4 linked regions of the Saccharomyces cerevisiae S288C genome follow. The gene in region 3 interacts genetically with the main gene of each other region. Each region holds a gene or a part of one and is shown on either strand. Other genes may lie near its edges. The genes, in order: ERJ5, MCT1, JEM1 and PEF1.

Region 1 (3,284 bases), on a different chromosome or scaffold from region 3:
GAAAAGTTAGATATTTCAAATTTTGTTGGTGGTATGAAGACGATGGCTGCTTACTTGCAATATTACTCTGAATCGCCAGAAAACTAAGTCATCTTATTTATATATGTGTATATATGTGTAAATTCCATGTCATTCAAGTTTACTCATTCCTATTCGAATTCTGAAAAGAGAGGAAAAACAGAAAACTCTTTATAGAGAAAATCTGATGCAGCAAGATAGCAAGTATATATACGCAAAAATACCAATCTACCATGGTTCTTCAATACCCCCAGAATAAAATATTGGTTTTATCAGATCACCCACACAACTTTTTAAAAACACAATTTTTGCAAGACCTGTTTCATTGCTCTAGCACGGGCATCAGTATAGTTAAGGACCAAACTTGGGAAAATAGATACTATAAAGTCCATTTTGATCTTTATATTGACTCTTGCAAAGAGATACCAGTATGGGTGGAAGAATTTATAACGCCTGAATGTGAACCGCTTAGAAATGTCATGGCAGGAATTATCTTAATAACGGACATCCGGCAAACAAAACCTCAAGAACTGCTGCACCAATTCATGATAGCTGCCCATCGAAATACTTTTGTTGTGTTGGCCAATGTGAACGAAGAAGTCGAGCAAGATGAAATTGATGAACTGAATGAGATATGGAGCAATGCCTTTACAAACGTCATCGAATTCGTAAACTGGAAAAGGTCAAAACCAACTGTTAATCATAACGACTATGGAGAAAAATTGGGGCTTGATAGGATCCAGGAGATTATAGATACCCACGACTGGTTAAATTGTGAAGTTCAACCGGCTACTAAAATAAGGGAGGAAATTCCTAATGAAATGCCCCTCGAACAAATAATTAGGAATTTGCAAAGTGCAAGGCTAAAATATAAGTCTATCGAGAATAGTAGTGAAGCTGATGCTTTTGCAAATGAAATGGCTGACGAACTATCCAGATATTTATGAGTATGTACAGATATGTATATGTGTATACATATGTATTAAACCAATAAGATTGCTCATTTTGTTAATAGTTTTTTGTATGCTGTTAGTAGTACAGGGAAGTATGCTAGTAAAACCACCCTGTTGATTATGTCCAAAGTCGGGGTAGAATGATAGTTCTTAACCTGGATATTTAATAGTAGCAATGCAAATTCACTCAGGTAGAGAATTGGCAATGTAACAAATGTGTTAACCTTCCATACAAGTGTTCTTTCCTTTACGCCCTTACGTTTAAAAAGTTTGCACCAATGGCAATATGCCTGTGATAAAGATAAGGAAATAATGAAACTAGAATATGATGCATTCTTGAGGATCAATGCATGCTCATAATCGTCATAAAAATGGATCACGCTGACTAAATAGATAAAATTTAGGTCTTTCAAAAACGTTCTTGAAAGCAAACCATATTTGAACCCGTGGAATCTAAGCAACCAAATAACTTCCATGATGCTGGAATAAAACATCAAATATATCAAGAATTCGTGGATTCCTCCCGGTAAAAACCGAGACCCTACCAGTGGCATTAATATCAGCCACCGTATCAATAATGCAGCATACAAAAAGCTTGTGGCTAATTGATAATACTGATAAAGCTTATGCGTCAACTTGATACCTGCCATCCTCAATGCTAGTTAAATATATGTGACCGAACAAATACTTTTATTGACGTTGTATTTACATTATTTCCCAATTTGAAGGTAAATCATATTTAATTTCCATATTCAAAATTAATAATCACGAAAAAAATGAGATTTTCAAAATAACACGTACCAAAAGAATAGAAAACGAACAAAAAATCAAGGTTACAAGATCACTAAAAGAATGAACGGTTACTGGAAACCTGCGTTGGTTGTCCTGGGATTGGTATCTCTATCATATGCTTTTACCACCATTGAAACAGAAATTTTCCAATTACAAAATGAAATAAGTACGAAATATGGCCCAGATATGAACTTCTACAAGTTCTTGAAGTTACCTAAACTGCAGAATTCTAGTACAAAGGAGATTACAAAAAACTTAAGAAAGCTATCCAAGAAGTACCATCCGGATAAGAACCCTAAATACCGTAAATTGTATGAAAGGTTAAACCTCGCTACTCAAATTCTTTCAAACAGCTCTAATCGTAAGATTTATGATTATTATCTACAGAATGGCTTTCCAAACTATGATTTCCATAAGGGTGGTTTTTATTTTTCCAGAATGAAGCCTAAGACTTGGTTCCTGCTGGCCTTTATTTGGATAGTCGTTAATATTGGGCAGTATATCATTTCTATTATTCAATATCGTTCTCAAAGATCAAGAATTGAAAACTTCATCAGTCAGTGTAAACAACAGGATGATACCAATGGACTAGGCGTAAAACAACTAACGTTTAAACAACATGAAAAGGATGAGGGTAAAAGTTTGGTTGTAAGGTTTAGCGATGTCTATGTTGTAGAGCCTGATGGAAGTGAAACACTAATTTCGCCAGATACCTTGGATAAACCTTCAGTAAAGAACTGTTTGTTTTGGAGAATACCTGCTTCGGTTTGGAACATGACGTTTGGCAAATCTGTTGGTAGCGCAGGAAAAGAAGAAATAATAACGGATAGTAAAAAGTATGATGGTAACCAAACAAAAAAGGGGAACAAAGTAAAAAAGGGTTCTGCAAAGAAAGGCCAAAAGAAAATGGAATTGCCTAACGGTAAAGTGATCTATTCACGTAAATGATACGTAAGAAGTAATATTATCATGATGAATGAATGAATGAATAGAAAACTACATGGTACTTATACATATAAATTAATATATATATATACAAATTAAAGAAAAGTACAAAACAATGTATCATTCATGATCATAATCATTATCATTATCAGCATCTTCATTATAATTACGAGTATTATCATTGTCATTATCATTATTATCGTTATTATCGTTGTTATTACTATTATTACTATTATGGTTGGTATTGTTAATGTTACTATTACTGTTCTTGTCCTCCGGCGGCCCCAGTATGAAAACCCCATTTTCCGTGTTCTTATTATCAACGTCTTCTTGAGCCCTATTGATTAACATTTCCCTTAACTTGTTGTGTAAATCAGATTCTGTAGATAAGGACAACTGTTCTTCTAGAGACTCAACATTGATTAATTGGCCGCCACCACTTGTTCCATTACTACTCCCGGTATCTGAATCAAGGATTTCATTATTATTACTTGCATCACCATTTGGAGTTAATACAGTAGTATTGTCAGGCAGCTGCGGAATGATGTTACCATTTCCATCATCAATATAACTTCC
Region 2 (3,543 bases), on a different chromosome or scaffold from region 3:
AGGACTATAAAACCGTGTTGTTTATATCGAGTCTCTTTTGGTATAAGCGTCAAGTCCATCGGAGAGATCATCATTTTGTTCATCTTAATGCCCTTTTGTGTAGGAAATTGAGGGAAGTTTAGGCTTCTCAACATTTTAAGACGCCTATGCAAGGGCTGGTAGGACAGACATGCTATTCTTATTTTGACGTAGAAATAACGTAGTTAAGATTGAAGAGGAAAGAGGTATTCTATATACAATAAATATCAGTGTCCGTACTTCAGATCCCTGAAAAAGTTCATCATACCGGTAAAAACCACCAACATTAATGAACCACCGGGTGCTAGTCTACATACTTTGGGGACGAAACCTTTGTACAATGCTCTGAAGCCTTCTTCACGGTATATGACCAATAGCGAAGGTAGGCACCAGTTGTATTTTTTAACAGCACTGCTGACCGCGTCCACACTTTGGATTCTGGATTTCACCACGTCAAAGGGAGTGTTAAGCATGGTCCCGACCGTACCACCGATCGCACCTGCAATAAGGTCATTTCTGGTCTTTTGTCCCTTTGTCTTTGCTACGGGCATGGAATTTCTCACTTGGTAGATAACACCGAAGTAGCCACCATTCCAAAGAGCGTTTCTCCACATGGTAGATTCGATACCCTTGTATAGCCCCATAATACCTTCGTTTTTGATTGTTTTTTTCAAACAGTCCATTGGTCCAAGATAGCTGGACTTGACGTCTTGCATCCTGATTTTGATCAATTCAAATGGAACAATAACTGCAGCTTCTGTCATACCAGCAGATGCACCAGCCGCAATGGAGATCTTCTGCGTAGTTTCATTCGTGTTGAATAGGTTTTTGAAGATTTTTTGATATTGATCGTTACATGCAAATTTGGTGGCTCTCTTTGGTGCTTCCATCAACATTGGTGAACTAATACCTCTGTAAAGTCTGCTAAACCCTTCCTTCTTTACAATTTTTTTCAAACAATCGATGACACCATTATATCTCTCTACTTGCTTTCCTACTGCAGCGGCAGTAGGCGTCGTCACCTCCAGTTGAAATCTTGTCTTAACAACATCAAGCGGATACATAACAGTTAACTCAGAAATACCGGCGACGGCACCTGATATGAACTGATATATAAAAGGCAATGGCTTTGCGTTTGAGTCTGATGACATATTACTTTGATGCTACCTCGAATTACTTGACTATATAGAATCTAACCCAGTAAAAAAGTGCAGAAGAGCTTCAGACTGAAAAAACGAAGAGAACGTTTTATAACAGAATTACTTGCAAATGCATGTCGAGTCGAAAGTGATCGCGACTGCACTGAGTCATCAACAACAAGATCTTTCGAGATAGACAGGCAAAAAAAGCTCACCACGAAAAAACTGAAAAAAAAAAAGTTCCAGAGGAATTTGCCTGGCATAGAATAATAGCATTCGTAGTACCACTATTTCATGTTAGAAATGCACAAGCAATTGAATGTCAACGACAGAAGAGGACTAAGTAGTATGCAGAAGAACTAGAACTCCTATCTGAGAAGAACTAATTGGTCAACCATGTCTCATTGTCCTTACATTTGATAAATGCCGATCTTCTAAAACAGTAAACACACGTTAGCATCGCCTTGTGTTAACGAAGTAAAAAGGCTTGCTAAACCGAAAGTACACAATATGCTTGTCTTGAGAAAGTTGGAAGAAAATTATAGGCCCTTAAATATACTCAAAATGCAGAAAGTGTCATCTTCTTACATGGCATTTTTTGGCCGTATGACAAGGCGCATTTCAACCTCCGATGGAGGAAGTAAACTGAGTATCGAACTCAAGGGTAAAACAAAGCTTACCAGTAACTTGCTGCATATTAGAACTATTCAATAACGTACACTGAGGGTAGTAACAAAGCGTTTTGCACTTTTCTGATCGTGGTACACATATATAAGCGTTTGTATGAAGCTACTAACCTTCCCAGGTCAAGGGACCTCCATCTCCATTTCGATATTAAAAGCGATAATAAGAAACAAATCAAGAGAATTCCAAACAATACTGAGTCAGAACGGCAAGGAATCAAATGATCTATTGCAGTACATCTTCCAGAACCCTTCCAGCCCCGGAAGCATTGCAGTCTGCTCCAACCTTTTCTATCAATTGTACCAGATACTCTCGAATCCTTCTGATCCTCAAGATCAAGCACCAAAAAATATGACTAAGATCGATTCCCCCGACAAGAAAGACAATGAACAATGTTACCTTTTGGGTCACTCGCTAGGCGAGTTAACATGTCTGAGTGTTAATTCACTGTTTTCGTTAAAGGATCTTTTTGATATTGCTAATTTTAGAAATAAGTTAATGGTAACATCTACTGAAAAGTACTTAGTAGCCCACAATATCAACAGATCCAACAAATTTGAAATGTGGGCACTCTCTTCTCCGAGGGCCACAGATTTACCGCAAGAAGTGCAAAAACTACTAAATTCCCCTAATTTATTATCATCTTCACAAAATACCATTTCTGTAGCAAATGCAAATTCAGTAAAGCAATGTGTAGTCACCGGTCTGGTTGATGATTTAGAGTCCTTAAGAACAGAATTGAACTTAAGGTTCCCGCGTTTAAGAATTACAGAATTAACTAACCCATACAACATCCCCTTCCATAATAGCACTGTGTTGAGGCCCGTTCAGGAACCACTCTATGACTACATTTGGGATATATTAAAGAAAAACGGAACTCACACGTTGATGGAGTTGAACCATCCAATAATAGCTAACTTAGATGGTAATATATCTTACTATATTCATCATGCCCTAGATAGATTCGTTAAGTGTTCAAGCAGGACTGTGCAATTCACCATGTGTTATGATACCATAAACTCTGGAACCCCAGTGGAAATTGATAAGAGTATTTGCTTTGGCCCGGGCAATGTGATTTATAACCTTATTCGGAGAAATTGTCCCCAAGTGGACACTATAGAATACACCTCTTTAGCAACTATAGACGCTTATCACAAGGCGGCAGAGGAGAACAAAGATTGAGAAAGAGATCAAAACTGCGAACTCTCTCCACTCCCAGTCTGTGCTTCTACGCATTCATTGAAAATGGAAAGAGGACGAAAGTGTGCAAAAAATTAGCCAACTTCCCTTTATATAAATATCGTATACACATACATACATTCCTTCTATACTAATCGCTCTTGGATACACTAAAACAAATCCCTAATGCAAACATACATGTTATTATGCCATACAAAGTAAACACGCAAGTATATAAACGTATAAATGGATATATAGATATCTCTACGCATATTCTTTACATTATCATAGCATGAACCTTTTTCCCTTTTTCTGCTTTGTCTAATTTATAGTATTAGTTATGCTCTAGTGCTCTAATGGAAAAACTCGTTAACCGTTATGCTTGGACTTTTTGGAGGATTTGAGGCAGTAGCGTTTACATCATTTTCGGTACACGATGCAGCATTACTTCTAGTAGAAGTATCAATGGTCAATCCTAGTGGCTTAGAGGCGAAAAGGCATTTGGTGCCTGACGCTGACTTAT
Region 3 (4,369 bases):
ATCTACTCATGGTTTCATTAACATTTCTTTGATTTTGATTGACGTCACTTAATAAAGTTTCCAAGACTGTCTGTAATTTTTGCTCCTTTCTCCACAATTCCTTACGAGTGTCTAAACTTTCACTCAGCTTCTGTTTGAGGTGTATTAATTCCGAATCAAAATCTTCTAATTGACCCTTGGTATCTGGTCCATTGATAGAATCAATTAGCTCTTCAATCTCTTCATCAATCGCAGAGTACTGCTTCCTTAAAGAAGTACGATCCATTTGCAATTGACTTTCCAGTTCATTTAAGTTTTGTATTGAAGATTTCAGTTCTTCAATTTCTGAATGAATCCACGTATCGCGTTCATCCTTTGATTTAAAACGGGCATATTCTCCTTTCTTTAAGATAAGATCTCTCTGCTTTTGTTGCAAGGAGGCCAATTGAAGTTTGTACATTGCTTCTTCCTTTGTGAGTTCTTGATATCTAGGTAAAATTTTAGACAACTTTTGTTTCCTTTGCTCAATTATAGATTTGATCTCTTTCAAAGTTGCACTATCCAAATTTCTCTGCTCCTCATTTGACTCAATTTGCTGTTGAACATCCTTTATTTTTACGTTGACGTTTGTTAATTTCTGAGAAATCTCAGATTCCCGTAGTTTTGCCTGTTGTAAATCAGTCGCATTTTTGATCTTCAGTGAAGCTTCAATACTTGATAGCTTTTTGGAGACTTGGTCAATCATATCCTCTCTTTTATCCAACTCCTGGATGTATTGTTCGGAAGAGTATACCGTGTTATTATAATCACCGTCCAGTCTTTCCATTTGATTGATAACCTCATTTAATTCTCGATCATACAATGTGAACTGGTAGATCTTTCTGTTGCGTTCCAACTCGTTGTATTTCTCTAATTCCTTACGTTCCTGTTCCATTTCACTCAATTTAGAGTTTAGTTCACCCATTTCCTTGTTAATTTGAATCTTTTTCTGCTCTGTTTCCTCCATTTTTTTCAATGAAGCTTTCAATTTTACTTCAAATGACTTAGCTCCTACAACATCTTCCAATAACTGCAATCTTTCCTTATCCTTGGCATTAGTTAAGGCGACTATTTTACCTTGTGGTACTATATTATACGGATTATTCATTGAAAAACCAGCGGTTTCCAACATTCTGACTATGTCCCCTTTGGTCACGTTTCTGTCATTTAATTGATAGTCATCCTTCTTCAGCCCTACTGTTCTTCTAATGGTCACTTCGTCATCTCCTCTCGAAAGTACACCGGAGGGCAATATCATAGAATGATCTGGATCGTGGAACACAATTTCTACCGAGGCACTCATCACTGAACCACCAGAACCTTGGTGGATAAGCCCTTGCCTTTCTTCCCTCTTAAGATTAGAGTAATCGTCACTAAGAACAAATCTAATCGCAGCGAAGAAATTCGATTTACCTGAACCATTGGAGCCAATAATAACATTCTGATGCGGCGAGAAATTATCAATAATGGTTTCGTTCCTGTAGGTTTTAAAACCCTTAATTATCACCCTTTTGATATACATTGCAGACGTGAACTATTACCGTTACTCCAGCAGGTCGTCTTGTAAAAAAATGGTGAAACTGTTTAAAGATGAGGTTGAAAACTCATCTTTAATTAGTTTAATCATTTCCTAACGCGTCGCGTCTTTTCCTATTCCTGAGACTTTTTTTCTTTAGGTTCCTAATAGTGAAATGTGACAGGTGTACACTTCGATGGCAGGCAAAAATAGAGCCAAAACTGCTTATAAGTTATTCCAAGTGAAAGGAGTTGGTTGCGAGAAGGGCCCAGAAGGTTTCATTCATTGTTGGTTTAGTGTATTACTAAGGCCGATCTTAACGTCTACGAAACGAAGTATGATACTGATCTCGGGATACTGTCTTTTAGTGTATAGCGTTATTTTGCCAGTACTGATATCGGCTTCTAAGTTATGTGATTTGGCTGAGTTACAACGATTGAACAAGAATTTAAAAGTAGACACTGAATCCTTGCCAAAATACCAATGGATCGCTGGGCAGTTGGAACAAAACTGCATGACTGCGGATCCAGCAAGTGAAAATATGTCAGACGTAATTCAACTAGCCAATCAAATATACTACAAAATTGGGCTGATCCAATTATCCAACGATCAACATCTAAGAGCTATTAACACATTTGAAAAAATCGTTTTTAATGAAACTTACAAAGGTTCTTTTGGGAAGCTGGCGGAAAAGAGGCTACAAGAGCTGTATGTCGATTTTGGGATGTGGGACAAGGTGCATCAGAAGGATGATCAGTATGCGAAATATCTGTCCTTGAATGAAACCATCAGAAACAAAATATCATCCAAAGACGTTTCTGTGGAGGAAGATATTTCTGAGCTGCTACGCATAACGCCGTACGATGTTAACGTCCTCTCCACGCACATCGATGTTCTTTTTCACAAACTAGCTGAAGAAATTGACGTTTCGTTAGCTGCTGCTATCATTTTGGATTACGAAACAATCCTCGACAAGCATTTGGCTAGCTTAAGCATAGATACAAGACTTTCGATTCATTATGTCATATCTGTTTTACAGACCTTTGTACTTAACTCAGATGCGTCGTTCAATATAAGAAAATGCCTTTCCATTGATATGGACTATGATAAATGTAAAAAACTAAGCCTGACTATTTCCAAATTGAACAAGGTGAATCCATCAAAAAGACAGATCCTGGATCCAGCAACATATGCATTTGAGAACAAAAAGTTTAGAAGTTGGGATAGAATTATTGAATTTTATTTGAAGGATAAGAAGCCATTTATTACACCAATGAAAATTCTTAACAAAGATACAAACTTTAAAAACAACTACTTCTTTTTAGAGGAAATTATCAAACAATTGATAGAAGACGTTCAACTGTCGAGACCTTTGGCAAAAAATTTATTCGAAGATCCCCCAATAACCGATGGTTTTGTCAAACCAAAATCATACTATCATACCGATTATCTAGTATACATTGATTCCATTCTTTGTCAGGCTTCTAGCATGAGTCCGGACGTCAAGAGAGCTAAACTGGCTGCGCCGTTCTGTAAAAAGAGTTTGAGGCATTCACTAACACTAGAAACATGGAAACACTATCAGGATGCTAAGTCCGAGCAAAAACCTTTACCTGAGACGGTATTGAGTGATGTATGGAATTCCAATCCTCATTTGCTGATGTATATGGTAAACTCAATACTTAATAAAAGTAGGTCTAAACCTCATTCACAGTTCAAAAAGCAATTATATGACCAGATAAACAAATTTTTCCAAGATAACGGCCTCTCAGAGTCGACCAATCCATACGTGATGAAGAACTTCCGATTATTACAGAAACAATTACAAACCTATAAAGAGCATAAACATCGGAATTTCAACCAGCAATATTTCCAACAACAACAACAGCAGCAACAACACCAACGACATCAAGCACCCCCAGCAGCGCCTAACTACGACCCAAAAAAGGACTATTATAAAATTCTTGGAGTATCGCCTAGTGCTAGTTCGAAAGAAATAAGGAAAGCATATTTAAATTTAACCAAAAAATACCACCCAGACAAAATAAAGGCCAACCATAACGACAAACAAGAATCAATTCACGAAACTATGTCACAAATCAATGAAGCGTACGAAACATTAAGTGATGACGATAAAAGGAAGGAATACGATCTTTCCAGATCAAACCCCCGCCGCAACACTTTTCCTCAGGGGCCTAGGCAAAATAACATGTTCAAAAATCCAGGAAGTGGCTTCCCATTCGGAAATGGCTTTAAAATGAATTTTGGGCTTTGATGAAATACATTCTATGCCCATTAACTAGGATACCACAACAAGTACATATATATACATACGCATATCACTGAAAGTTCTAATTATTGCAAAGCCAGCACTTTTTTAAATATTGAATTCTTCTTCATCATTTTCAGTACCAGCGGTAAGAGATGCTGTGTGAATTTCTCGCAGTTTATCCATGATTTCAGTAATGAACGGCCTCAACTCATTGATTTCTAATAGACTTAAATTATCCAATTGTAAATGAGATTCATTCAAATACTTAAGGCCTTTTAACACTTTGATCTGCCTTATTTCCCTTAAGTCTTGTATTTTACCACGTAATTCGTGAATGGGGTCATGAAAATCATCCTTAGCTTTATTGAAAAGTATACGTGCCAAGACAAGCCAGTTCCACGGCAACTCACTAAACCTATCCGGATGAGTTTTCTCATATTGTATTTTTCTATCAAGCTCTTTCGTCGTTAACCACTGTGGTGCTACAATACTGCACTTGGATTGTTGCTTCAGTAATAGAGCGATCCAAAGAACCACTTCTGTAGAACGCATGGCTACCATAT
Region 4 (3,263 bases), on a different chromosome or scaffold from region 3:
ATGATAAATTCACCACATGTATCTATATATGTTCATGCATATACCATATATATTTTGTTATTCATACGATAGACCTCAATCGTTTTGTTGCCTTTCAAAACGCACAATTGTAAACCTAGCTTACTATTTATCTATCGCGGTCCAGAATGGCTTTCCTTTTTAAATTCATCCCAGAAGCCACGTCGGAGTAAAGTATTCGGCCTTGATGACTATTTCGAATCGAAATGAAAGAATAAAAGGAACTAGGAGGTTGTTCCAACAATTTTCCATGCCGTAATTTCATCGGTTATTAGGTTACCAGCATTTATCTCAGTTTATTTGAGTCAAGGTAATTTATTTTCATTCATTACTGTATGGAGTAAAAATGAATTCCATTTATGTATTCGCACGAAGAGAAATTTATCATCCGTCAGAGACACCAAATTACGGCCGAATTTAGATTTGTTTGCACGTAAATATGAGCCAATGAAAGCGTTATTATTCAATGTTTCCAAATTGTTTTCCACCGTTTTATTTTTCCCCAAGAATTCGCTTTTATGAATGTTTTTAATATATGCAATCATTTTATCAAATCCACCGATGATAAAGTTCCAGTGTTCACTCAACATTTTCATAGAATCGTCATGGCTTCTGGAATCGACTGTTAAAATAAAACAATATCTTCTTTCATTGCCTCTAGCATTTTCATCATACAGTTTAAAGCCTATAACTAAGTTCAATCCTCTAAGATCATCAAAAAATATAAAAGGCATATTATCATAAATCATTGTTTCTTCAGAAAAGGCTCTTTTAATAATAGAATTTAGCAATTGGTATCTTATAGAAGAATATTGGGTAGTTATAAACGGAACATCTTCGATGAAGCACCGCATCGATCTAGTTGACTCTTCAGGAAACTGTAAAAGACATGATTCGCAATATGATTCAGTTGGATAATCAGGCACTAGTAATTCTTCACCTAGCGTTCCCTTTTCTGCGGATTGTGTAACTGATATGATCCTTGGGCCATGCTTGTCGCAGAAATGAGCCAATGAAATCACTGTCGAGGACATTCTATGCATCTATTTCATCAACCATTTAAACGCTAACTTATTTTATGGAGGTGCTAGTTAGTTGGACTTTATTGCTTCATTTATCGTTTGATGGTCATCGAATAGAAGATTCCTAAGCCCTTTTCTTTTTACTCAAGATTTTCTTTTTCAAGCGTGTTTTTTCTGGCAAGTACGAAAACGGCATCTTCGAACTTGGCGAATGAACAATCGGTTTGGTTCAACATTTCCAAGAACAACTACAACATACTATCAGTGTTACTTTCAAAAGTCTTTTAATACATTTGAAATGATATTCAGTGGAAGTGGAATGAAATAGGCCACAGTGAATAGGCCACGATACACACAGCATGTGTCATGCTCAATACCTTGCACCTGAATCTATATAATCTTGTAGTTCACCATTATATACATAACTCAGAAGAAGAAAACAATACGCATATTGGATAGTGCTCCATCGCTTTTAACAACTGATAATTTCAGTCATCTGGCTCAGGGTCTTGTCGATTTTTTTTATTTAGAAACTATCCGAATAAAAAAACCGCAGGAATACAAAGCGATGGGAATTGCTATTTCACTGAACATGTATGTATACCGTATACCGCATAAAATAACTATAAACCTACACCATTAAACGATGTGTGCAAAGAAGCTCAAATACGCTGCTGGCGATGACTTTGTACGCTATGCTACACCTAAAGAGGCCATGGAGGAAACTAGACGTGAATTCGAGAAAGAGAAACAACGACAGCAACAAATAAAGGTTACTCAAGCACAAACTCCCAACACTAGAGTCCACTCAGCTCCAATTCCCTTACAAACTCAATATAACAAAAACAGAGCAGAAAACGGTCACCACTCCTATGGTTCTCCCCAAAGTTATTCTCCAAGACATACGAAAACACCTGTGGATCCTAGATATAATGTTATCGCACAGAAACCAGCAGGCAGGCCTATACCTCCAGCGCCAACCCATTATAACAACTTGAACACTTCCGCTCAACGGATAGCTTCCTCTCCTCCTCCCCTAATTCACAATCAAGCAGTGCCTGCACAACTCTTGAAGAAAGTTGCACCTGCTTCGTTCGATAGCAGAGAAGATGTACGAGACATGCAAGTGGCCACACAGCTATTTCATAACCATGATGTAAAGGGCAAAAACCGACTGACAGCTGAGGAACTACAGAACTTACTACAAAACGACGACAACTCCCATTTTTGTATATCATCAGTAGATGCGCTGATAAATTTATTTGGTGCTTCCAGGTTTGGCACTGTCAACCAGGCAGAATTCATCGCCCTATACAAAAGAGTGAAAAGTTGGAGAAAAGTTTATGTGGACAATGATATCAACGGATCGCTCACCATTTCTGTAAGCGAATTTCATAACTCACTTCAAGAACTAGGATATCTAATACCTTTTGAAGTTAGCGAGAAAACATTTGACCAATATGCTGAGTTTATAAACAGAAATGGAACAGGAAAAGAACTAAAGTTTGATAAATTCGTTGAGGCGTTAGTTTGGCTAATGAGATTAACAAAATTATTCAGGAAATTCGATACTAATCAAGAAGGCATTGCAACCATACAGTACAAAGATTTTATCGATGCTACATTATATTTAGGTCGTTTCCTACCTCATTGATGAAAACCATTCGTTCTTTCTGGTCGTAATACAAATAGAAGAGGTAAACCAATCAATGGCCCGTTAGTTTGCCATTTGCTGCATCCTTCCCATGCAAAGTGTCTTCGTATTTAGTGATGTTTTGTTAGCGACACAAAAGAGACCTCGATGACAGACATTTTTTTTTCTTTACTTAATGTATTATAAGTGTGTCTGACCTCGACTATCATTATAATATTAATTTGAAGTTCTATTTTACATTTATATGAGTTATTCCATTACATAATAAGGATATCAAGAGCAGATTAGTGTCTTTTAGATTATACATCTTTTTCCCCCCTTTTTTGTTGTTGGTAGTGGAAAGAAAAGGATCAATTAACAGAAATAAATAAATAAATAATAAAAACCTAAAATTCCTTTTGCGTCATTGAATTTTTATTATGAAGTCAAAAGGGAGTCGGTTGTCAACAGACTGTCCTGTCGAATTTCCCAAGATAGTCTCTGGATTCGCTGAGGAAGTGAAAATACGTAGACAAAGTTCCCAAGGACAGTACGCCGTCGATTCACATCCTCCGAAAAGCCCTGAACTG

The links.
Region 1: mutations in JEM1 (region 3) and ERJ5 impair growth when combined (synthetic growth defect), as found in Saccharomyces cerevisiae (one study listed by BioGRID).
Region 2: mutations in JEM1 (region 3) and MCT1 together harm fitness more than expected from each alone (negative genetic interaction), as found in Saccharomyces cerevisiae (2 studies listed by BioGRID).
Region 4: mutations in JEM1 (region 3) and PEF1 together harm fitness more than expected from each alone (negative genetic interaction), as found in Saccharomyces cerevisiae (2 studies listed by BioGRID).

The regions. Positions count from the first base shown.
Region 1 is NC_001138.5:236,795-240,078, reverse strand, and holds ERJ5 (Erj5p), read left to right. Parts: upstream 1-1,823; coding exon 1,824-2,711; downstream 2,712-3,284. Other genes in the region: DUG1 (metallodipeptidase), read left to right, coding at 1-87; IRC6 (Irc6p), read left to right, coding at 252-965; KEG1 (Keg1p), read right to left, coding at 1,019-1,621; SAP155 (Sap155p), read right to left, coding at 2,829-3,284. UniProt on the Saccharomyces cerevisiae protein: DnaJ-like chaperone required for the folding capacity of the endoplasmic reticulum.
Region 2 is NC_001147.6:755,956-759,498, reverse strand, and holds MCT1 ([acyl-carrier-protein] S-malonyltransferase), read left to right. Parts: upstream 1-1,940; coding exon 1,941-3,023; downstream 3,024-3,543. Other genes in the region: ODC2 (mitochondrial 2-oxodicarboxylate carrier), read right to left, coding at 246-1,169; RCN2 (Rcn2p), read right to left, coding at 3,374-3,543. UniProt on the Saccharomyces cerevisiae protein: Involved in biosynthesis of fatty acids in mitochondria.
Region 3 is NC_001142.9:301,310-305,678, forward strand, and holds JEM1 (Jem1p), read left to right. Parts: upstream 1-1,871; coding exon 1,872-3,809; downstream 3,810-4,369. Other genes in the region: cohesin subunit SMC3, read right to left, coding at 1-1,540; DNA replication protein PSF2, read right to left, coding at 3,912-4,369.
Region 4 is NC_001139.9:604,450-607,712, forward strand, and holds PEF1 (Pef1p), read left to right. Parts: upstream 1-1,686; coding exon 1,687-2,694; downstream 2,695-3,263. Other genes in the region: LST7 (Lst7p), read right to left, coding at 324-1,052; septin SPR3, read left to right, coding at 3,114-3,263. UniProt on the Saccharomyces cerevisiae protein: Calcium-binding protein that is required for polar bud growth and cell wall abscission. Can also bind zinc ions.